7 linked regions of the Xenopus tropicalis genome follow. The protein of the gene in region 2 purifies or fractionates together with the protein of the main gene of each other region. This does not show direct contact. Links are inferred from orthologs where the notes say so. Each region holds a gene or a part of one and is shown on either strand. Other genes may lie near its edges. The genes, in order: stx10, napa, vamp3, snap29, bnip1, sec22b and vamp4.

Evidence for each region.
Region 1: the proteins of napa (region 2) and stx10 purify together in Homo sapiens (affinity purification with mass spectrometry; 3 studies listed by BioGRID and IntAct, with this or other methods). This does not show direct contact. The link is inferred for Xenopus tropicalis from reciprocal best matches to the Homo sapiens genes NAPA and STX10.
Region 3: the proteins of napa (region 2) and vamp3 purify together in Homo sapiens (affinity purification with mass spectrometry; 3 studies listed by BioGRID and IntAct, with this or other methods). This does not show direct contact. The link is inferred for Xenopus tropicalis from reciprocal best matches to the Homo sapiens genes NAPA and VAMP3.
Region 4: the proteins of napa (region 2) and snap29 purify together in Homo sapiens (affinity purification with mass spectrometry; 3 studies listed by BioGRID and IntAct, with this or other methods). This does not show direct contact. The link is inferred for Xenopus tropicalis from reciprocal best matches to the Homo sapiens genes NAPA and SNAP29.
Region 5: the proteins of napa (region 2) and bnip1 purify together in Homo sapiens (affinity purification with mass spectrometry; 3 studies listed by BioGRID and IntAct, with this or other methods). This does not show direct contact. The link is inferred for Xenopus tropicalis from reciprocal best matches to the Homo sapiens genes NAPA and BNIP1.
Region 6: the proteins of napa (region 2) and sec22b purify together in Homo sapiens (affinity purification with mass spectrometry; 3 studies listed by BioGRID and IntAct, counting the BioPlex papers as one, with this or other methods). This does not show direct contact. The link is inferred for Xenopus tropicalis from reciprocal best matches to the Homo sapiens genes NAPA and SEC22B.
Region 7: the proteins of napa (region 2) and vamp4 purify together in Homo sapiens (affinity purification with mass spectrometry; 3 studies listed by BioGRID and IntAct, counting the BioPlex papers as one, with this or other methods). This does not show direct contact. The link is inferred for Xenopus tropicalis from reciprocal best matches to the Homo sapiens genes NAPA and VAMP4.

The regions. Positions count from the first base shown.
Region 1 is NC_030679.2:140,624,130-140,628,124, forward strand, and holds the start of stx10 (syntaxin-10), read right to left. Parts: upstream 2,801-3,995; 5' UTR 2,505-2,800; coding exon 2,470-2,504; intron 543-2,469; coding exon 373-542; intron 106-372; coding exon 11-105; intron 1-10. UniProt on the Homo sapiens protein: SNARE involved in vesicular transport from the late endosomes to the trans-Golgi network.
Region 2 is NC_030684.2:79,897,402-79,901,337, forward strand, and holds the start of napa (alpha-soluble NSF attachment protein), read left to right. Parts: upstream 1-1,136; 5' UTR 1,137-1,159; intron 1,160-1,169; exon of another isoform or gene 1,170-1,426; intron 1,427-1,614; 5' UTR 1,615-1,627; coding exon 1,628-1,725; intron 1,726-1,917; coding exon 1,918-1,997; intron 1,998-2,118; coding exon 2,119-2,235; intron 2,236-2,885; coding exon 2,886-2,932; intron 2,933-3,936. UniProt on the Homo sapiens protein: Required for vesicular transport between the endoplasmic reticulum and the Golgi apparatus. Together with GNA12 promotes CDH5 localization to plasma membrane.
Region 3 is NC_030683.2:101,173,600-101,177,700, reverse strand, and holds the start of vamp3 (vesicle-associated membrane protein 3), read right to left. Parts: upstream 2,801-4,101; 5' UTR 2,756-2,800; coding exon 2,754-2,755; intron 1-2,753. UniProt on the Homo sapiens protein: SNARE involved in vesicular transport from the late endosomes to the trans-Golgi network.
Region 4 is NC_030677.2:153,633,264-153,635,440, forward strand, and holds the end of snap29 (synaptosomal-associated protein 29), read right to left. Parts: intron 1,297-2,177; coding exon 1,136-1,296; 3' UTR 501-1,135; downstream 1-500. UniProt on the Homo sapiens protein: SNAREs, soluble N-ethylmaleimide-sensitive factor-attachment protein receptors, are essential proteins for fusion of cellular membranes.
Region 5 is NC_030679.2:43,438,555-43,441,342, forward strand, and holds the end of bnip1 (vesicle transport protein SEC20), read right to left. Parts: coding exon 2,602-2,788; 3' UTR 501-2,601; downstream 1-500. UniProt on the Homo sapiens protein: As part of a SNARE complex may be involved in endoplasmic reticulum membranes fusion and be required for the maintenance of endoplasmic reticulum organization. Also plays a role in apoptosis.
Region 6 is NC_030680.2:118,088,402-118,092,580, forward strand, and holds the start of sec22b (vesicle-trafficking protein SEC22b precursor), read right to left. Parts: upstream 2,801-4,179; 5' UTR 2,780-2,800; coding exon 2,705-2,779; intron 1-2,704. UniProt on the Homo sapiens protein: SNARE involved in targeting and fusion of ER-derived transport vesicles with the Golgi complex as well as Golgi-derived retrograde transport vesicles with the ER.
Region 7 is NC_030680.2:107,512,541-107,515,062, reverse strand, and holds part of vamp4 (vesicle-associated membrane protein 4), read right to left. Parts: intron 1,754-2,522; coding exon 1,653-1,753; intron 1,217-1,652; coding exon 1,137-1,216; intron 978-1,136; coding exon 926-977; intron 1-925. UniProt on the Homo sapiens protein: Involved in the pathway that functions to remove an inhibitor (probably synaptotagmin-4) of calcium-triggered exocytosis during the maturation of secretory granules.

The sequences.
Region 1 (3,995 bases), on a different chromosome or scaffold from region 2:
TTTAATTTACCTTTACAGAATTCCGCGTCTGCTCCACAAAACTCCTTCTCTCACTAAGCTCCGTCCCGGTGATCTTGAATTTTCGCGAGTTCGATTCCACGATGCCCAAGATGGGAGTAAAGGAAAACTGTGGAATGGACTAGAATTGCAAAAAGGCTACCAGTGGCCAAGGGAACAACACAGAGCGTAACAGTAGAATAAACCCATACGCTAGGGGCCCTTTTGTATCCCATGGGTTTATTCTAGCGCCAGTATGTTAGATGGGCCACCTCGGGGCCTCCTATCAATATGCCTGGTATCAACTAGGTGCCTCTCGGGCTATTTCAGGGTTACCTGACAGGGACTGGCACTGTGTCTGACCAATTAGGATACTGATGGTTTCTTCCAGATCCTCCAGATCCCATTCAATGCTGCGCAAGGAATTCCGCAACTCGTTGGTCGTCCAATCAAACTCTTCGGCACTGGTAACTTGGCTTTCTTGGAGGAGTTCACACCAGCGCTGGTACAAACCCCGGCTGGTGTTCAGAGCCTTCTGCACCTCTCTGCGGGGGGAGAAAGAGAGTAATACAGGACAGAGAGATGGCTACCAGAGGAACGAGGGGGGAGAAAGGGAGGAGTCTAGTTTTGTTTTAACTATGGGGCCCTGACTAACAGCACTACTATAGGGAAATGACTCCCAGGGAAAGGGTTGGTGGCAGCCAAATGTCTATGTTTTACGGTATAACTTCATCTTTGGTTATGGTCTCTAGCACAAGGCAAAGCCCAGCCAGCCTGACCTGTGTTTACTTTCTAGGGCAGGGAAGTCAGTCAGTCAGTCAGTCAGTGAGTGGGGGGGAGTTGTAATACACAGGTCTGTTTGACATCCTTGTAGGGCGGGCTTCACTACAGGCCACGGATGGTTTGAGCCTTGGGAATGACAAGGTGCAGGAAGCGCTTGCCATCGGCATAAAGAGACTTTACTGGACCCCATAGAAAAGTCATTTTAGGGACCCTCTTAACTTTGGGAACAAGTTAGAAATATATATTGCAACTGAGTCAGTGCCCCACTGGGCCCCCTATACCCCCTGTTATCAGTCAGTGCCCCACTGGGCCCCCTATACCCCCTGTTATCAGTCAGTGCCCCGCTGGGCCCCTATACCTCCTGTTATCAGTCAGTGCCCCACTGGGCCCCCTATACCTCCTGTTATCAGTCAGTGCCCCACTGGGCCCCCTATACCCCCTGTTATCAGTCAGTGCCCCGCTGGGCCCCCTATACCCCCTGTTATCAGTCAGTGCCCCACTGGGCCCCCTATACCTCCTGTTATCAGTCAGTGCCCCACTGGGCCCCCTATACCCCGTTATCAGTCAGTGCCCCTCTGGGCCCCTATACCCCCTGTTATCAGTCAGTACCCCACTGGGCCCCCTATACCCCCTGTTATCAGTCAGTGCCCCACTGGGCCCCCTATACCCCCTGTTATCAGTCAGTGCCCCGCTGGGCCCCCTATACCCCGTTATCAGTCAGTACCCCACTGGGCCCCCTATACCCCCTGTTATCAGTCAGTGCCCCTCTGGGCCCCCTATACCCCCTGTTATCAGTCAGTGCCCGGCTGGGCCCCCTATACCCCGTTATCAGTCAGTGCCCCTCTGGGCCCCCTATACCCCCTGTTATCAGTCAGTGCCCCTCTGGGCCCCCTATACCCCCTGTTATCAGTCAGTGCCCCACTGGGCCCCCTATACCCCCTGTTATCAGTCAGTGCCCCTCTGGGCCCCCTATACCCCCTGTTATCAGTCAGTGCCCCACTGGGCCCCCTATACCCCCTGTTATCAGTCAGTGCCCCTCTGGGCCCCCTATACCCCCTGTTATCAGTCAGTGCCCCTCTGGGCCCCCTATACCCCCTGTTATCAGTCAGTGCCCCTCTGGGCCCCCTATACCCCCTGTTATCAGTCAGTGCCCCACTGGGCCCCCTATACCCCTTGTTATCAGTCAGTGCCCCTCTGGGCCCCCTATACCCCCTGTTATCAGTCAGTGCCCCACTGGGCCCCCTATACCCCTTGTTATTAGTCAGTGCCCCTCTGGGCCCCCTATACCCCCTGTTATCAGTCAGTGCCCCACTGGGCCCCCTATACCCCCTGTTATCAGTCAGTGCCCCACTGGGCCCCCTATACCCCTTGTTATTAGTCAGTGCCCCTCTGGGCCCCCTATACCCCCTGTTATCAGTCAGTGCCCCGCTGGGCCCCTATACCCCCTGTTATCAGTCAGTGCCCCTCTGGGCCCCCTAAACCCCTTGTTATTAGTCAGTGCCCCTCTGGGCCCCTATACTTCTTAGGACCCCCAGTAGTCACACAATCTGTCTCCCCTATAGGCAGAACCCCACATGTCCCTGTATACTCCCTGGCGCCCCTCGCTGCGGTCTCTATGGTAACCCCCCGGGCACAGGAGACAGGCAGCATGGCACTGCCCATTTGCTGGAATAAGAAGCCAATACTCACCCTCTCACCACTGAGAATGGATCGTCCAGAGACATTTTGGCTTTTCTTCCTGTTTTGGCTTATTTCCCCTTCTATCTAACTCTATACAATAATCTATGTCTGTACTTACATAGCGCCCCTAGAGTGCCCAGGCACTTACTGCATTCTCTGCCCCAGCTGCCCTTATAGGAATCTACAGCCTCTATATAAGCTCCTGTCTCTCTCTATACCTGTATATATATATGTGTGTGTGTGTGTATATGTGAGTATAGGGGCTAGCAGGGTATCTCTCCCATCCCTGGGGCCGCACTCTGCCCCCTCCCCTCACAGCCTCTGTTTATATAAACACGTGTATAAACTCATCTCCCCCCGCTCCCTGCCCCGCACCTCTATCACTTGTACCTCTAATAATAACAATAAATCTGTCTCCTAGCAACAAGCTTCTGTCACTCCGACCCCGAGTCTCACTCTCTCCGCAACACTCTAAACTCTCCCCTACTGACAATCTTTCTTCCAGTCACTTTTTCGCCTACTTCCGCCCTCCTCGGCTTCCCTGCCGTCACGTGTCTCCGGTTCAGGCGCGAAGCATCACGGGACTTGTAGTGTATTTCTGTTAATCCGATCAGTTCACTTCTAGGTCACGTGACTGGTGCTGAAATGCTGCAGTTCGGTTGAAGCTTCGCTGGGGGCGCTGTGTTGTTTCTAATGAGGAAGTGAAAGTAGGGAAATTTGGAGGAAAATACCCGCATAATGGGAGAACGTTCGCAAACAAGATGGGGCAGGGTGGCATAGGAGTATTTATTTAGTTTTAAGAAGATGGAAAAATCGACCTTTTGGGGAAATCTTTGCCAATGCCAGAGGGGCTGCTGAGAACTTCCGTTGACTTTGGGGTATTTTTGGCCCAACCAGCCCAATTAAAGGAACAGTAACACCAAAAATAATAAAGTATATCAAAGTAATGAATATATATTGTACTGCTGCCCTGCACTGGCACAACTGGCTGTGTAACCTGCACCTTGTTCCCCCAATAGTATGGGGCGCATTGTCTGTGGATCCCACTTCAGGAGGGGGTTGTTGCGCTTGTTGGGAGTAAATGAAGAGCAGTGATTGGCCAAGTATAACCGCTGCCATTTTGTGGGTAGTTCTGAATGTGAATCTGAATGGATATCTTCATGCAGAAATAATAGCAGCAGGTAATGGTAATGGATGGGATAGATTTGATGGCTGATGCTGGGGGTGCCACACTTCTGATCGGGGGGGGGGGGGGGGGGGGTTGTGGATTACAGCCAGAGGTGTGGGGGGACTGGAATCTTGGGAAAGTAAGGAGGGGCTTGGTCAGCAGTGGCCATAGTGTCAAGTGTGGGGCAGAGGTCCTAGAAGGATTAAAGGCAGATGTTCCTGGTGCTGTTGTGATTGCAGAATGGGCCCCTATAAGAAGGCAGTGGGACATCACCGGTGCCAGATAAACCCTGTGCTGCAAGTCTCACAGTAGGAGCAAGGTGAGCATGGGGGGCACTCATGGCGGGGATAGTCCTTCCACCCAAGAG
Region 2 (3,936 bases):
ATTAATAATGAATATTAATTATTTATTAAGAATTAATAAACACTTGTTACAGTCAGGGACTCACCAAGCTTATTTTTTTTAAAAAAGGAGCAGTAAGTAGAGCTTGTACAGTAGTAGATAAAGGCACAGCAGCACCAGCGTAACTTTTGTGACCCACGACCTGAGCAGCACCAGCACCCACAACAAATAAAAAAGTGCAGGAAGAAGCTGTGAAGATCCAAAGACAGCAGTGACAGAAGGAGCCAAGGAAACCCAAAGGAAGACAAAAAGACCTGAAGACGAGCAGGACACTTAAAAGACACAGCAGGACATTTCAGTAAGTATCTGGGACAGCGGGACAATGTGCAAAAATGGGACATCTGGGGGTGTGGCCATATAGTGGGCGTGGTCAAGAAAAATTTCGCCGCGCTTAGCGCTGCAAAATATTTTGTCCCTCTTTTTCATTTTCAAATGTTGGGAGGTATGAGCAGTTTATATTAAACTCATTGCCAGGCACGTTAAGCAGTTTGGGTTATTCTTTACTGCCTTTCCTTAACTTGGCCTTCAGGTCATTAGTAAAGTATATAGTTGGTGGTGCACCAATAAGCAAAAAAAACTGTTTCCTGGACCTTTAACCTCTACCGCATTTATGCTTAGAGAGCAGAGAATGGTAACATGGAGTTACTGTAATAAGCAGTATTAGCTGAATCAGAACAAAGGCTGCCCCCTTACTAATAATGTTAACGCCAGGGTAGTAAAAATGATGCCTCGTTCCAAACATTGCCAATAGCGAGGCAAAAAGCTAAAAACAAACAAACCCGGAAGACCACTGTTTTTTTTAATATGAAATGCAACACTACACGAAGATAAGGACAACTAAAACATAAAAAAGATCATATGTAAAAAAATGATAATGTAATAGAAAACAACGCACTACAGTCTGTATTATTTTTAAAAAGGAGTACACATCTTTCCCTTTAAATGCCGCTCAGAAAAAGCCTAACTACATCTTCTGACTGTGTCTAGGCGGATGTGAATGCTAACGTTTGGTCACGTGGCACGGATATTGGCGGAAACAGAATAATCATGTGTTCTGCGGGCGGAAGTTTTGCTGTCACTGAAGCATAGCTGCTGATCCGGAGAAATACTAAGCGCAGTCATTATTTGCCTGCAAAATCAGGTCAGCGTCCCGCACACTGTTACAATTCTTTCCCTTCTGCTTGCCCTATTCTTCTGCTCTCTGATTCCCGATTATCTCCCTCGGCCGTCTCTCGGTTCAAGGGTTTTTGATCCCTGGCCTCTGCCTCCTGTTTGTCTCTATCCGCGAGTATCCTCGTATTACTAGCTCGTCGGCTTTCTACGAGGCCTTTCACTCATTTGCAGAGCTTTTTCTTGGCTGCCTGCCTCCTAGTTCTGGTTAGCGCTCTGAATCGGCTAACATCTTGCGGTAATAGAAAAACTTTAATAGATTAACTACTTTCCTAAAATGTAATTCCAGGCCCATGTTACAATGGCTGATTCTATGGTCTCTGATCTAATACCGGGGAATTTTTCTGAATTTATAGATATTTTCTTTTTTATAATTTATATTGGCATCTATTTTCCATATTTTCTGATTGTTATTATCATTGACAGGCCCCATTCAACCATGGATAACTCTGGGAAGGAGAAGGAGGCTCTGCAGCTTCTGGCTGAGGCTGACAAGAAGGTGAAGTCATCGCAGTCATTCTTTTCAGGGCTGTTTGGGTAAGTGAATTAGAAATAATTACATGGTAACAGGGCAAAATCTGTTTCTGACCAAAAGCATTGAACTGTCACTAGTGTTAGTAATATTAAGCATTTACAACGCTGTAGCTGTCACTACACAAAGCATTTTACATTTTGTTAATCTTATAACTTGAATAGTGTGTAATCTTTGTCTGTTTGTCTGCATTTAAGAGGCTCCTCTAAAATGGAAGAAGCATGCGACCTCTATGCCAGGGCTGCCAACATGTTTAAGATGGCCAAGAACTGGAGTGGTAGGTAGTATGTAATCTGTAAAATCATTTGTAACAAACTTTCCATATATCCATATATAGGTATATAGATATTTATACTCCTCGGAATAGTGCAATAAGATGCTCTTCTTCTTTTTCCCAGCTGCTGGCAATGCCTTCTGCCAGGCTGCCCAGATCCATCTTCAGGTTCAAAGCAAGCATGATGCAGCCACTAACTTTGTGGATGCTGGAAATGCATTCAAGAAATCTGACCCCCAGGGTAAGAGAGGTCCTAGTTGTCTCTTGAATGAGTCTTTTTTTTTTTCAAAGTTATCTATCAATAACTGTTTGTACCAGCACCCAGTGTTCCCCTTTGATTTGTTTTCGGTCATATGCACAAAGATAACATATTTATATCAGTTATGTGCACAGAAATGTGGGTTGTTGTAATAACTAAGTGTAAATAAGTGTTTTGCACAAAAGTGTTTTTTGTCTATTGTGGCAATACCCCCACAATGATAGCTCCAAGAAGAATAAAATGCAGAGACCCCCCTCCTCCCCCGTCTTGATGCTCCTGAATACAGTGCTCCTCACCTGTAACTGTTAATAATAGACAAAATAGACCGGTGTGATTTGCAGCATTTTTTTACTATCAAAGCAATCCTAGCACTGGTCGCCAAATGCAAACAGGCACATTTCAAGCTGATCTGATATTGTCTTGACCAGAGAATGCCATGCACAGCCAGGCACATGAATATATTCTTATATATTCATCTTGAATATGAAATGCCAGGTGATTTTAGGCCTTATTTTATTAGAGGTATTTTATTAAATGAAATAAAGGCTTTTCTGCAAGAATACATAAAGCAATGCTTAACTTTTTCAATAATAACTTTGATAAATGATCACAAGTATCTATATTGTTTTCAGAGGCAATTAACTGTCTGCTTCGAGCAATAGAGATCTACACTGACATGGTAAGGACAATTTCAAACTATCTTCCGCTTTTTTTTGGTCTTTATCACTTCTTAAGTTGACCACAAACAGAGTGACAATGCGAATATGGCTAAAAGAACGCAAGATGTTTAGTAAGATATTTGTTGACTAAGGATCAAGGTGTGTTTAAATGCAGTTTGTAGAGAATGATACATATGTGTTTGGGAAATGGGCAATAGAATTGTTATGGAAACAAGTGGGTTTTTTTTTAGTCAGAAAGTAGCAGGGAACAAAAAAAATGCTCTTCTAATGAATGTTCGGATATCGATCATACGTTTAAATGCAACGATCTAAAACTAACATTCAGACTGAAATTGTAGGATAAAGCTCTAAAAATAAATTGGAGGATGTTCTGAACATGAAATAGTAGGCAGACATCAATAATGCAAAAGTGAGGGCAGGCAGTACCCTTCTGAACAAACTCTATGCCAGGTGGCAACAGGATCTCCCCCACATTACACTTGAACTGTGGGAGGAGGTGTTGGAGTCAACCTTTGATGCTGTAATTAGGGATACACCCCACCGTTACAAATATTAAACCAGGAGCTCCCACAAGAGTGCCCCAGATGTCGTTTTTCACCATCTGACTTTATCCAGCTGTTGTGGCCTGTGTGCAGCACTTCTGGGAGGAAGTGGCAAAATATATACCCGGTAGAATGGATATCTGGTATATGCTCAGTCAGGTTCAAGAGCTGTCCCCCCTCATAGAGAAAAAAAAAATGTAAATGTCCATTTTATGTATGTATGCAAAAAAAAAAAAAAAAAAACCCACAGAAAAATTGCACAATTCTTAAAGACACCTGGTGGGCCAACTGTGGCAGCATGAGAAGCTATGGTGGAGGGAGCCATTCCCCTGTATCCCCTGCATAGGCGGTCCTCAAAGATTTGATGTTTGTTGTTGGGTTTTATGTTGAATTTTCTTGTTTATGTTTAGGTTTATTGTAAAATGAGCATCCTATTCATCTGGTTTTTTTTATGATGTTGC
Region 3 (4,101 bases), on a different chromosome or scaffold from region 2:
CTGATATAATCAGCCTCTGAGACAGAATGCCTCCCAAACTCCACACACACGCACATCAAATGTAAAAGTGTCTGGGGAGTCATTAGCCCCCAACATCTGAATGGAATTCACCAGAAACTTTGCTGTAAGTTTTGCACTTATTGCTCAAAGGTAAAGACCTTTGAGCAATAAGTGCACATAGTGCAAAACTTACAGTATATTATTAACATTTATTTATAAAGCGCCAACATATTTTGCAGCGCTGTACAATAAGTGGGTTTCATACAATGGACATACAGAGTAACATATAAAGCAATCAATAACTGATACAAGAGGTGAAGAGAGCCCTGCCCAAAAGAGCTTATAATCTACAAATTGTGTATAATTATAATTTTATTACAATATTCTGGTCTGCAGCTGTAGATCATAAGTGAAACAGGCAGCTGCTACACTTTCTCTTCTCCTTAGTGCCAGGGTAATTACTGGGATCTACGTGCAGATCAGCTCCTCTCCTTTTTGGTAAAAATGGGTTTAAAGCTGTTTTATTGCTGCTGGCCCTTCTCTGAGTAAATAATTTGGGTGTAACCCTGGCATTCTCCTCTCTAACAACATACGGTTACATTATATTAATCAGAAGAATCTGAAATAAATGACTTACACAAAAAAAGAGTTCCCAATTGGATTGAGCTATGCTATCAGCAATCTGCAATTCTCTAGAGAAAGAAGGGACCTACTGGGGTCACAAAAAAGTTAATACGTCACCTAAAGGCTACATCCTAATGTTCAGTCAGTTTGGAAGAGATCTGCTACACTGACCAAGTGTATCTATATGGGTTATAATCTGGATACTTAAAGGAACAGCAACACCAAAAAAATGAAATTGTATAAAAGTAACTAAAATATAATGTGCTGCTGCCCTGCACTGGTAAAAGCTGTGTGTTTACTTCAGAAAGTCTACTATAATTTATATAAATAAGCTGCTATGTAGCCATGGGGGCAGCCATTCAAAAGAGAAAAGGCACAGGCACATAGCAGATAACAGATAAAACTTATCTGTTATCTGCTATGTAACCTGTGCCTTTTCTCCTTTTTTCCAGCTTGAATGGCTGCCCCCATGGCTACACAGCAGCTTATTATATAAATTATAGTAGTGTTACTGTAGCAAACACACCAGTTTTACCAGTGCAGGGCAACAGTGCATTATATTTTTATTACTTTAAAGCTCTTTCATTTTTTGGTGTTACTGTTCCTTTAAGGGTGAAGACACAATGGGCAACTAGTACCAGCTACTTTGTAAAGGCTACTAAACTCCAGAAAATACCCTAATGCCCTAACACATGTAGAGATAACTATCAGTAAATGATCAGCAGCCTTTTTTAGTAGCCATGACAAGTAGCTGCTACTAGTAGCTCTGTGTGTCTTCACCCTAAATAGTATTACCTAACTGTAACAAGTTCCTTATTATGATTCTTAGACCAATATCTGATAAATTTGCTGGTTGCCACTTCCCATAGTAATGTATTAGAAATCCTCAGCCTATGCAGCCATCACAAGGGTGATTTCCTCTGGTTGCTATGGGAGGCAGGCGTGGGTGATTTCAGGGGCTTAAACCCCCACCAGGATACAATGGTGGTCAAAACCTACCCTGTGACATGTAGCAAATGCACTTGAAATGAAACCTATCTGCTGATGAAATTCACCCAATCTGAACAACATAAATTCCGTAAAACAACAATGTGCTGCAGCAGAACATTCACATTAAGAACCATTTCTTAAAATGAGTCAAGACTTGTGAAGCAGTAAATACAAATGCGAGCCATTAAGTCTATTTTGAGTTCTAACAGAAGTCATATTATGTAATGTAACAACAAGCTGTTATTGTACTACAACTCCCATCCCATTAGATGCTAGGAGTCAGTGTCGGACTTGGGATGCTAAAAGCCCACCAGAAAACCTTAGACCAGGGATCCCCAACCTTTCTAACTCGTGAGCAACAGTCAAATGTAAAAAGACTTGGAGAGCAACACAAGCACCATAAAGTTCATGGAGGAGCCAAATAAGGGTTATTAGGTAGCCTCTATGCACACTATCAGCTTACAGGGGCTTTATTTGGTAGTAAATCTTGTTTTTATTCAACCAAAACTTGCCCCCAAGTCAGGAATTCAAACATAACTCCCTGGTTTGGGGTCACTGAGAGCAACACCCAAGGGGTTGGGGAGCAACATGTTGCCCCTGAGCCACTGGTTGGGGATCACTGCCTTAGACCATGGGGCCACCCTCCAAATTATTTTTCATCCATTTCTTATCTCTATATATTCCAAGTTATTTTTCTTTATCTTTACAGACTATAATCTATTTTTCTATATATTTAGTTGCTTTGTTCCCTTATAGAAAAATAAGTAAGGACCCTGAATTAGGCCAAATGGCTAGAAGCAGGAGGGCCCCTGGGAATTCTCCCGGTATCCCTGTGGGCCAGTCCGACACTGCTAGGAGTTCAGAAAGCAGACTGAAACATTACACGCCTATTGTAATTGTATTTACCCTTTAAAGCCATAGGGCACTTGTGTCCCCTGTCAAACACCCCTATAAGCCTATGCACAAACTTCTCGGCCGAACTAAATACAACTTTGTACGGACAAAATAGCACATTCTGCGCCCAAACTCTACGCCTCACAGGCCCCGCTCGGTAGCGCAGGGCTAAGGGCGGATACCGGGCAGGGCGTTCCCCGCAACTTGTAAAGGCAGCCCCCCCCAAGCACTACTGGCACACTTACATTTTGACAGGCTAGATACTGCAGGACACCGGTCCGACTTTACTCCGCTGGGCGTTTTTGCCTTGTGTAGCCGCAATCCCGTAGAGTTCCGCTGCCGGGAGAGGTGTGGCCAGCGCAACTCAGGGCGTGGCCAGCATCAATGACGTCAGGTGCAGCGCTGTCAGCTGAGCAGCAGGTCACGTGTGTGGCACAGCCGCTCCCGGTTTTGTCTTGTTAAATTGTCCCTCGGGGAACGGCGGAAACCGCTGCGATATTCCCGCCAATGAACTGGCATGGGGGCTTGGCGTGCGAAATTCCACACGCAAGGGTTATGTTCAGAATAGTGTGAGGCGGCGGGGGGCCCTAGGCGTGTCGGGCAGTCTAATGTGTTTCTTGCTGCGACATTAGGGGAACGCTTCTAAAGTTTAACTAGAGAGTATTCAGCCTGGGCACACAGCCTCCCTGGGGCCCCTTTGGTATAAATGGTAGCTGAGAACATTGCACTTATAGCTATGCAGCCTGCAGCGCAGTAACAGAAATAATCATTTACCTCAGTAGTCAAATAAAGCTTACAAACTAAATCCATATGGAATTCTTACAACACCGTTATATAAACCTGACCAGGAGACGAGTTATTCTTTTAATAACATTGGCCAAGCTGCGGACTAAAATGTTTTGAGGTTAAGGAAGAAATAAAACAATATAAATATGTATATAGACTGCAACTATTTGCAGGTTAAATTAATTTAATTATTATAACCAGCTTCCCCAAGTAAACAGGTGTCCTGTCCCATGGCCTGGAGAGCCCCCACCCACTCTCCTCTGCAGTAGGTTCCACACAAAGTTTGCCATGGGTGGGCCTGGACTAGCCACGCCTCCTAGGAAGGAAGAGGGGAATTGTAGGTGATTTTTGGGGAGGGGAAGTTTGGATAGGAAAGATATCAGGTGGTTGGTAGAAAAGATATTAGCAATTCTATAAAGGTGGCCATGCACCTTAAAGCTGCCAATTCGGGTTCTTCACAGTAATTCGCCATCTTATCTGTCAATGTATGGGGCCCTCTGACAGGCATCCCCAACCAATAGCTGCCCAAAAATCGTCCAGATGACGATCGGATGGTGCAGGCTTGACTTTTTGTATCCCTTTCATGTTATAGTTTGGCCTTAAGCTGGCCATACACGCACCGAAACCTTGTTTCGTACGATATTCGGTGCGTGTATGGCATGTCGGCAAGTCGACCGATATCGCAGGAAGCTGCTGATATCGGACGACTCGCCGATTGGCCAGGTTAGAAAATTTTGATCGGGCGCCATAGAAGGCGCCTGACCAAAATCTGCCGTCAGGGCTGAATCGGCAGAAGGAGGTAGAAAT
Region 4 (2,177 bases), on a different chromosome or scaffold from region 2:
TAGGTAAAAATGCTGCTGTACAAGATTATTGTGCTACTTCTCAGTCTAGTATGCAAAGTGGCCTTTTTAAACACGCCCTCAAACATATATGCATTTGACAGTGAAACACAGGCTCAGATGTTATCATAGCTTGTACTGCTTAAAGATATACAGTATATATGTTAATGTACAGCTACTAAAAAGCTAGGCACATTTGCCTTCAACAGCTGCTATAAATTCTTTACCACTGATTTTATCTGAAGCACATGTGCCCCGTTTTGATTATGATTACAACTTTGTAATTGATAGTTACAAGGGTGCATGGTGTTATTGCTCATGTAATATTTTACACAGCTTTAAAATATGCCCAAGTGTGCTAATAATACAAAAGGGGAAATAAGGATTACTATGTCCAAAACATTTAATAAGTATAAGGGAGTATGAATAAATTATCTGAAATGTCAGGCAGAGAAACAAGTCTACAGACTCAAATTTGTCTAAAGAAGACAAATGGCACAAAATCAGAAAGCAAATAATATATTAAACAAGTTAGTTAAAATAATAACAGGCAAGATTATTAGGCTTTTTTTTTTAACTTAACAAGTAAACTGATAAAATATTCACAGTATGGTTTACGGGAGTGTCACATAAATTTATAAACATATTTATACACAAAGTTTCAGAACACTAGATTAAAATAATAAGGGTAATAAGAAAGTGGCATATGGCAGGGCCCATTAAACCCTATGTTACGAGCATGTGTAAAATATTGCAGTTTTAATAAAGGCATGTTCATATGTCTATTCTGTCATATAGCAGTAAGGTAATACCTAGCAAATGAACTCAAATACTTTATTCAGATCCAGAGCTATAACAAACTGCCAATCACTACAATACAATTCCAATAGTAAGACAATTCATTTTTATATCTTAATAAGGATCTATATTAGTAATAATACTGCAAAACATCATCTACATTTAATGCTAACGAATGTAATGTATAGTTATACAGAAGATATAAGATTCAGATAGGGATGTGTGGGATATTTATGTCCCAGTATAAAAAAAAACAAAAAAAAAAAAAACTGCATAACATTATAAAAACCACAAGAATAAAACTCAAGAGTCGGTCTTGGTCAAGTCTGAAATTTGTCTTTTATAGCTCTTCGCGAATCCGCTTGTCTGTAGTCTTGATGTTTAAGTCCATCTTATCTACTTTGCCAGTTAGGCGCCCAAGCATCTCATCCTGGTCATCGATTTCTGTCTGAAGTCCTAGTGCAAGGTTTTTCAGGCGACCCAAACCTAAAGACATGTCATCTGGAAGAAAGGAATAACACAACCTTAGGATTAGTATTATTATTTTTAAAATGCAGCAATATTAGTAGGTATGGAAAAAAAAAATACGGTGTATGGGTTACACCTTGTCATTTAGCTTTAACCAGGTCATCTATAAATGGTAGCCTTGATGCCTAGAATCAGTCATTAAAATCTGTTGGGAGCCTATTTCTTTCCCAATAGATTCTTAATGTGATTAGTTGGTTGGTAATTAGAGTCGCAATCCTCCAAACTGTTTATGAAAGATATGCCAAAACAGGAAGTATTTGTTAAGAGATACTGACACCAGAAATGAAATTATTTTTACATCTGTCATAACATTGTCTTTGCATGCTATTTATAATTTTGCCATAAAAGTATTTGTCCAAGCTTTTACATTCCCTATCTGATCCCCCATGTTCCTCTATGAGGGGGCGGCCATATTTGTCCAGCAGGAGGCCGTTAGCATTAGAAGCTATAACTGACAGGCTGAGAAGGGACAGTCAGGCTGGCAAAACAGTCAGGTTTTGGGATTTCAAGTAACAATTACTTACAAAAGCAGCCCTATCAGTAAAAAATGATCAACACGACCTATAGGCAACTTTTTATGTAGATTTATATTTTAAAAAGTTTTTTTTTCGTGTCAGTATCACTTTAGCAGTCATAATGGTTTTGTAGACAGGCCAAAGGGGTATTTGAAGAGCAGCTCTCTTATTATTTCACTCCCAGTCTTATACCACACAAATCCTTTCAGTGTTATTATGTAAAAAGACACTGGGTTACCCCATTAGGGCAAAGGCACACATTTCAGTAATTTAAAAAGCAATTGTAATACTGATAATAGTAAATGTAGGATTGGTAGTTAATGATCCTCAGAGCCTATA
Region 5 (2,788 bases), on a different chromosome or scaffold from region 2:
TTTTAATTGTGCATAGTGCACTTTTAAGGCAAGCTCTTTTGGTACAAAGATAACAAATTTTTCAGTAAAATGTTTTATTACATACAATGCACAGTGGTGAAAAATGTAAAATTTGCAATATTTTTTCACTGACAGGTGCGGTCGCAAAACAGTTTCCGGGTTCACAACAGCTATATTAAATTATATTCCCCCCCCCCCCCATAAATACTCAATTGAATGAGTGCAGTTACAAGTGGCAACCAATTTAGCAATTTGCTTTTATTTTTTTACCAACCAAAACTAAGAGCTGAACATTGCAATGGGTTACTGCACTGGTGCAATTTAAAAACCTAGGTTAGAAAAAAGCATATTTTGGATTAAAGGGCAAATTTTCTCCTAAAGCAGGAATATTTGTATATCCCTCATGTTTGGATGTAGGAAGAATAAATCTCAGAAACCAGTCGGTTAGTGGGTGTAGTAGGAAATAACACAAACACAGAATATCATAAATATAATTTATTAAAGAAGACAAAAACTTATTCCTGTCCTCCTGCCAGCTGACATGACATTAGTTAAATGGTAATCACATAAAATATCATGAGAATTAAAGGAAATTGAAAGTTCCATGAGAGAATTGGTCCATGTAGACACAGGAAGTCTGATCTCTGTGCCGTTGCCTTCTGTACAAGGGACAGCTAGTAATAGCCTCAGCCCCCACATGGTTTCCTCCACACAGCACAATGGAATTAATGGCTTGCAATGACAAGCACATATTATATGTTAGTGCTATAAACTGAGCAGCCTTCCTGCTACCGGAAGCTATAACCCCATCTTCTCTGGCTTTCAGGGTGAAGGGGGATTCCATGCAGTAGAATAGCCACAAGTTTGACACTCATTATCTGTTAAAAATAACTCATGACAAAAACCATATAAACGTTTAGTCTGCATGATGGCCATACTGCTTCTTACAGATATATAGCAGTTTATGTGCATCTTTATTTAACTGGATGAAAAGCAGACATTTTATAGAGAGACACTAACTTACAATACAATATGGCTGGACAAAAAAGTTGCCTTCAGTTGTGAGATACTACAAGTCACCTGAAATGGCTGTGTTAAAGGAGCACAGTATTATTGTACATTTTCAACAATATTCCACTCCTGACATTCCACCCCCTGAAGAAATTACATGTTGTAAGGTACCACTGTAGCTGTAGACTGAAGTAAACACTGGAGGAAAGTGAGGTTATTTATACAAATTGCAAAAAAAGTCATTTGCAGTTGTCCTGCATAAGTACAGTTAGTCTATATCTTAATTATTAAAAGACCAGATGATCTACATCCCTGTGATTTCTGCTTTGCTTTCTTGCAGGGGTCATTTACAAAGTGCAGGACAAGGTACAAAGTGTCTAAAACAGGCGCAATCCACCATGTTAATTTTCGCACTTGTACACAGTGCTTTTCTGAATAGCTGAAAGTCTCTGTTCTCCAGAATAGAGAGTAAATCTCAGCATGATATTGTGCCCAGCTACCTTCTGTCCTCCATATTTATATTTATTATGTATAACCAATTATAGGGTTCATTCAAATTATTTTCTTACACAAGATTTACAGCTAGAACTACCACTGACCCCAGAGTCCTCTGCTGTCCTGTCTTTGGGCAAATGTCCCTCTCACTGATGATGTTTTTACATCAGTGATGGCAGGAAAGAAGCTGACTTGACCACCCTTGACCTAGATGGTGGCTGAGTCCTGGTTATTGGACTGAAACAATTGCCTCAAAATCTTATTGGGCTTAACAAGCTATTGTTTGGGAATGCTGAATAATTCTGTCAGGCAAGAACCACAAAAGGCTGTACATGCCTGCTACACTGCTACTGTTTATATATCTGATTCGGAACTCTCCATCTCTGATGTCAAAGGATGAGGCAGTGAGGTGCGAGTCTATAAATGCTAGTGCCAAAGGAATCATGCCAGAACAGGACTGGCTGGGGGAGGCAGTCCTGCATATAGTTCTACCCACTACATTGCTGGCCCGAACCCACCCATGAACCCATGGGTCATGTGGACTTTGGGCTGGCCTGCACACCTCTAATGTAGTCCTCATCAACAGGTCGCCCATTAGTAGCCAAAAGATCAAAACAACAACAAAGCCCATCAAACTGTGCAAACGTCTGCATTTGGGTAATTTTGCTTGTGCATGGTCAGTTTTAGCCTAAGACTGTAACCAAAAAGCACCAGTCTACAGTAAATGATCATTTGTTTCAGTGATGACTTACATCAGTACATAAGACTATCATAAAATCCATTGTATGGCAACTTACATGAATGGAACACAAACGTCAGGTCCAGTACCACAGTCTAAAGCAGGGATGTTCAGCCTTTGTTTCTTCTGCTGTTGTCAATCTACAGCTCCCAGAATTCCCTAACAGTTTAACCAATAATAAACCTACAAATAATTTAACTTTGTGCACCATTTTAAACAGATTAGAGCTGACACAGTCTTAGTTACTAGTTCCAGAGTATTCTGTATAGTTCAGTTAGCTGATGGCAATCTTTAAGGCCAGTGGTCCTCGCCAGATGGGCATCCAAATCCTCTGAAGTAAGAAACCCACACAGTGACTAGAATGGAAGCAGCCTTTTTTTCAAGATGTACAGTACAGTTGCTAAGAATAAGGCCAAGGCCAGAAAAATGAGCAGCTTGTCAGTGAGCTCACGCCGGTTGTACTTAGTGATAAGTTTACGCCCAAGTTGTATAGTCCCTGACATGGATTTGAACTCTTCATTGGCTTCCTGGATGGTCCGTGAT
Region 6 (4,179 bases), on a different chromosome or scaffold from region 2:
TACCACTGCCAAGTTACTAGGGTAAAAAATACCCTAGCAACCAGGTAGCCGCTATAAAATGGAGAGCTGCTGAACACAAAAATAAATAACTGAAAAACCATAAAAAATGAAGACCATTTGCTAATTGCCCTTTAAAGCCCTTCTCCTTGTGTACTTAACCCATATCTTCAAATTATGATATGACCAGTAATTAATATTTACTGACCAGTCATATGACTATGTATATGACTATTTAGGTGCACATCATTATTTTAGTCAATGTTTTGAATGATGGTTGCACTAATGAATGGGGTTTTACTCTGGCCACATTTCTTTCACTGTTATAATTTAACCCCCATGCTCAACAGCCTCTGTTCCTCTGAGATATATAATTAGGTGTGGGAGGTGCATATGAACAATTTTTAGTGTTAACCGCCATTTCACTAACTGGTCCCTGATGCCCATTGTGGCAAAAACCACTGACATTAAATCATTCAGCAAATAATAATCTGCCAACCAACATGTTTACTGAGAAAGGGTAAAGTGTGATGTCAACGGCACTGCAAAGTTCTGGACTGGTTCCATGCAGGATGTCCTGGGGTAAGTGCCTAAATAAGCAACGGTATATTCTATGCAGATTACACATGGGTAAATATATTTATTTTGCCTGCTCCTATATTTGCATGATTATTCTGTATCTATGCTCCTCGTATAGTTCTTATTACGTGGCTATCCTTGTGGGTTTCCACTTTACCTTAGCCTGATACACAAAGAGCTTTATATGAAAATTAGACCAATGAGGGAAGGTTTCATTATAACTCGAGGGAGAGCAGTAATTACAGCTCACTTGCTAACCTGCAGACAGCAATACAATCCTCAATCTTCATGTAAACACATTTTATGTATAGCTCCTGCATTGCCATAGGAGCTAATTACAGCACTACATATCCTCCTCTCATACAGTAACCCTTAGGCACTGAAATAATGGCAAACAGTCCTTTGCATACAAGGGAACAGTAGCAGCTTTTCCAGTTACACACCATGTACATTACTGTAGCACATTGATAAAGGAAGAACAGAAACAAGTTGCTATAAAAGTGCAACAAATCAATAAGTAGCTCTGGAATATCTGTGTTTTGTTGGGTAATTAGAGCTGCACTGTATTCAATAATGCTCCCAATCTGAACCCATGCGCTTCTACCCTATGACCTTTCTACTCCGTAACTTTACGCACACTTTTTTAAGAAACTCTTGCACAAGCCTTGCAACATAGAAGAGGTGGTCATACCTCCTGAACAGAAGGATAAAGGTCTAGAGGCTATTTTTACTAATAGTGCAACAGTGCCTTTTCACTTGGACACAATCAGGCAGCTTCTGCTCAGATTGCCAACACAACCTGTGACCTTATACATCCCTTAGAGGGCCACATACGGTCTATGGCTGGTCAGTCCTGTGATATAATCTTTAATAAGGCATCTTATCTACATGCACAGGGTACTATTTAAGTACTTACCGTCACAGTTATGCACACCCTCCCACCACTCTATAGAAGCACCGATAAATCATAAGCATAGACCTAGGCATGTCCCACATGTACACCTTTTTGGACAAAACCAAAGCTACCTATAACCCTCACCTGTACAGGCTAAATACATGGAACACTACATATAATGTTCATTAATAGTGGCACAACTAATATACAACACTACGCACAGCCTTCACCTTTCTGGCTAATCAGTATAAACACACAATAGAATAGCTAATTCACACCTGCATGGACACAGGTATGGTCACTATACATAACCACAAACAGCTCTACATTCCGCACACAGTTAAAGTCATACATATCTAACATCTGTATGGTCTAAATGTATCCGCACTGCTTTCTTTATAAATATAGATTGTAAGCTCTACGGGGCAGGGACCTCCTTCCTCTTGTGTCCTCGACTCTTAACTTATTGCAGCTGTATTTATTTATTGTTATACTTTGTATTTATCTATTATTATCTTATTAACACCCTGTTTGTATTAATGTATTCTACTGTACAGCGCTGCGTACATAAGTAGCGCTTTATAAATAAAGATATACATACATACATACAAATATCCCTCACCTATATGGCACAATAAATATGCCCACAACAGCTTACATAGGCCGTGCCTGTAGCGGAGCTGTGCATAATAGCCAGGTACATACTTGCTGGCCAGACCTGCCCAATCAACGGAACAGAGACAATGCAGCCAGTTATGATAGAAATGTATGTCTAACAATGTATTTTATAGGTGTCCCAAAATGAAGTTGACAGGCTACCTGTGTGTGCATATACAGTAGTCAACCCTACACATACACTACACTTCTTTATATATACAATGTACGCTCACACATATACACAAACACATTATTCATATCTCATCACAGTGTAAACAAACAGCTAGCACTCAGATACACAGCTTACCTGTATTCCCATAGCGCATAAACACACACAAGCAGGGCACTGCTTATAATAACGCACCCAGCACAATAACACCCTCGCTTGAATGGATACAGTGAATATACACCCCAGTACAACTGCCCCTGAGCTATGTAGCCCAAGGTTTTGCTTCTAAACATCACTCCAACATGCCCTCAGCTACATCTGGTTCCCTATAGCTATTACTATGCACTCCCCAACAGGTGGGCTCTCTCGAGTTGAAGACATGTTTGACCTGTATATGAACATTTCACCTGTTCGTCCTCCTGCATGGAGGCAGCCAGCGGGAGTCCGTCAGCCACTCGGGCGATCATCGTTAGCAGGACCATGTTGACCGGGGGAGACAGACGCACACACACACAACAGGGCTAGAGATCAGGATGAGCTGGCCGGAAACGTTGCTCTCCACCCCCCTGCTCCGCTGGCAGTGACAGGGTTCACACTGTAGTACCGCCCCCCTGTCTGTCTCAACAAAGGTTCCGGGGTACGAAAGTTCCTAGGGAAGGAAAATGAAAGTTACGGCGCCTAGGCATTTGTGCTGTGGATTCGCCATCTTTTATTTGGAATCTGCCAGTATTGTCTTTTATAAATCGATGCTAGGCAAAATAATGAGTAAGAAAAGAAGGGAAATCTTTTTCTAGAGACGTGATATCTTGGCATCTTAATACTTTAAGGTTTCCCCTAATTTCTGAGCTGCTGCTGGAACAATTAATGGTTTTGCATGGGCCAGGTCATAAATGGCAACTGAAGCCCTGCTTCACCCCAATTGCATATGAGGCATCTTACCCCTTTTTGCCTTAATCCATTAAAACTCAGTTCATGTTCTGGCCCACCTACCTTCAGCACATACAGTTGCCGCCTGCCCAGGGTTTTACTGGCCTGGCTGGTAAAAATGATGCTTGATGTTGTGCAAAGACAGGGTTCACTTTTACTTCTTGGCCATATTTGCCAATGACATAAGGGGTTGAGTAGGTACCAGGAGGGTGAAGTTGTGATGTGTGGGGCCTTAAATGGATGAAGTGGGTCAGATTTGGTAAGTAGGCAGGGCTTAGGTGCATAGAAGGGGTGCAAAGAGAGGGACCCCTGACTGCAGAACCATTGTAACCCCCTGTAGTACATTATTGAGTTACTTGATTTATAATATATATTTCTGCTTTGATATATCATTTAGGTTTAGTCAATAAATAATTCAGCACATTTTAGGGAACTATTGTGAAGATAAGGGGAGTCCAGTGTACTTGTTGCTGGGTAAACATATATAGTAAAAATAGACATTTTTTATTGTTACATAAGAAACATGGGTATTGTTAGCCAGCAAATAAACAAGCATACAGCAGGCAGACAATAGCCGCTTATACACAACTTATTTAAATTAGACATGACTGAAGAGGTATAAAGCTCTTTATGGAGAATTAAACTCAAAAAATCAATATGGCTAGAAATGCCAAATTTTACATACTAAACTTGATGCAGCAGCCTAAAGTTTCAGCATCTCTATAGTAATAATTATCCAGGTCCTTACAGTTATCACAGAAGCTTCCCATCTTGGATGTTGCTAGGAGTGTTAGTGACACTGCATATGCTCAGTGTGCCCTGGGCAACTGTTGGGAAGCAAAGCTTAGGGGTTGTTGAAAATTATCAAGCCAAAAATTAGGTTTAATTGTCATATACGCTGATGCCACATGGCTGATTAATAAATTCTGATGCTAATTGCACTGGTTTCAAAGCT
Region 7 (2,522 bases), on a different chromosome or scaffold from region 2:
TGCCTTTAACACCCTGTAGTTCACACTGCATTATAGTCAGTTTATAGTCTAAACCTGAGTTGAGAACAACGCAACTCAGGCTCAGCCCCCACATTGTTCACCTGTTCACACCTCAGACTGTATGAACAGTGCCAGCATTGTGTCACTGTATGTACTGCCTGCCCTATGTTGCCTGAGTGTGCCATATTTTTCCTGCTCTTTGCTACCTGTGTGCGCCATACTCTGCCTGCCCTATGCTGCCTGTATGTGCCATACTCTGTCTGCCCTATGCTGCCTGTGGGAGGTGAACATGGCAGGGGTTTGTTCTGGGTTGTTCCGAGTTTGTTAGCATTTGGAAATAGTCATTATATGGTCCATAAGGAGTGTAATTATGTGTTGGGGCTTTCCACAGGCGAGGCATATGAATTTAAGGGTGTGTCTTAATATGACATAATAAACTTCCTTCACAAATGAATGAAGGATGGTATCCTTCAGTGAGCATTAACCATTTGGGTTTTTGCTGTGCTACCGCCATTAATGTGTATATGGTCTTAAAAGCTCTTGTGATAACATGGGTGTGGTTTGAAAAGGGGAATGGTCAAAACTGGCTTCCATTATCGGCCCTCCACCACATAGGCCAGAAAAATTTTGGCCCTCGGTATCACAGGGGTTGGACAGCACTGATGTAGTGTACTGCACAACAAATAAATATTGCTTTAATCTCCCCTCCATCTTTATTTGCTTTGAAGTTGCCTGTGCAGTGACAACAGTACAGGAGGTGAACAGAGGACTAAGTTGATGCAATACATGCTTTGCTAACTATAATTTTTTGAGGCCCTGTGTCCCCATGTCTAATGTTTTCACTGAGAACAAGAAAATAAAATTGAAATTGCTTGTAAAATACAATATTAACAAGTTTCATTAGGTTTGTGAGCAATATACCTACCAATAATCACTAGTAGGATGATGACAAAAACCAGTGCTATAATTGCTTTCATCTGAAAAGCACAATAAACTGAATATTAGATGTATGGTAACCCAATTATTATGCAGGGAAAAGCTAAAATTCATGCAAACTGATAACCATTCATTGCTTTACTGGTAATTTGACAAAAATCCAAGTTGTTGAATGTATTACAGTTTGATGCACTACTTACCTTACACTCCCTCCACCACATCTGTCTCCTAAGCTGTCTTGATCTGCTGCTGAAGGCTGTGGCATTGTCTGATAAGCTTTCTGTGGCAGAACAGATATAGGATTGTGTGTTAGAAAAGTGCATAAGTTAGGGTGGCAATACAGTGAAAGATCTTTACCTGATATGCCCATCTTGAGGTGAGTGTGCCAAAAAATCAGATCACAATTGCAGCTACATGCAGGCCATTGGATCAAGGACTGCATCAACGTGCAGATCAGGTCCTCAAACCAACTGAAAATTAAACCTGCCCAATATTGGTCAATACTGCCCAGATATCGGTAGGGTTGGCCCATCAGAGGGCCCCATACAATGCCAATAAGCTGCCGAATTGGTCTGTTAGCAGCTTTTATTGGCCCCTGTATAGCCACTTTTAGTCAGCATTTCTTAGCATGGAAATAATGACTGCATATAAATTAAAGAATAAATAGATCAGAGAGCAATTTCTTATCTCACCGCTTACTGCAGGAGCTCCATTACCTGACTTGTCCTGCAGCTCATCCAACCTTTCTCCCCTTTCGATCACCCTTGTGATGTTTTCTTGCATGACATCGATGACTTCATCCACCTGGTTCTGTACACTGCAAATACAAATACAACTGGAACAACAACAAACAACTGCCAGTCTAGCAAGGTCATTTTCCTTTAGCTTAGCTAAAAATGGAAAGCCTTAACTTTTGGATTTCATTTCAAATTTATCCCACAATAAAGTTTTCATCATCAATATTTTTTAGTAACCTGTTCACTACTTTGCTGTTGCATGCCTTTAAGTACCCCACCATATGAACCAAGCCAGTTTGTGTTTGAGAAAGCCCTGTATGGGTGGGTCGTAGGAACCAATTTCTGCTCAAAGAAGAAGGTAAGTACTGAGGGTAGTTTAGCAAATGATAGATCTGACAGTATTAGTTTACCTTGGAAAAAGGGGCTTGCTTAATTTCTATTACATTCTTACTGTATCCAAACAAGTTTAAATTAATCTATTCAGAGAAAGTGGATCAGTTTCTAGCATGTTCGGAACTATATCCCCATTTGCATTTCACCCATTTACTCTTTAGCGCTTCTGTGATGGAATCCTTGTTTAATGGTTAGGGAGCAAAAGGTTACATTCCTGCATATAAAAAAAAAAAAAACACACAGAGAATTTAAACTGTCATTCACGCCATATTATTCAAAGACGCCAGCAACACTTTAGTCTGCAGGCTAATGTCACACAGGAAGACTGGAAGTGGCTACTTGCAGCGGATGAGATTTGACTGTTCCCTATAGTGACATTAAAGGCTAATGGATGGAGAGGAAGCAACGACACCAACATTTAGCCAGCTGCAAGCTGAGCCTTCCCATCTCTCTGTG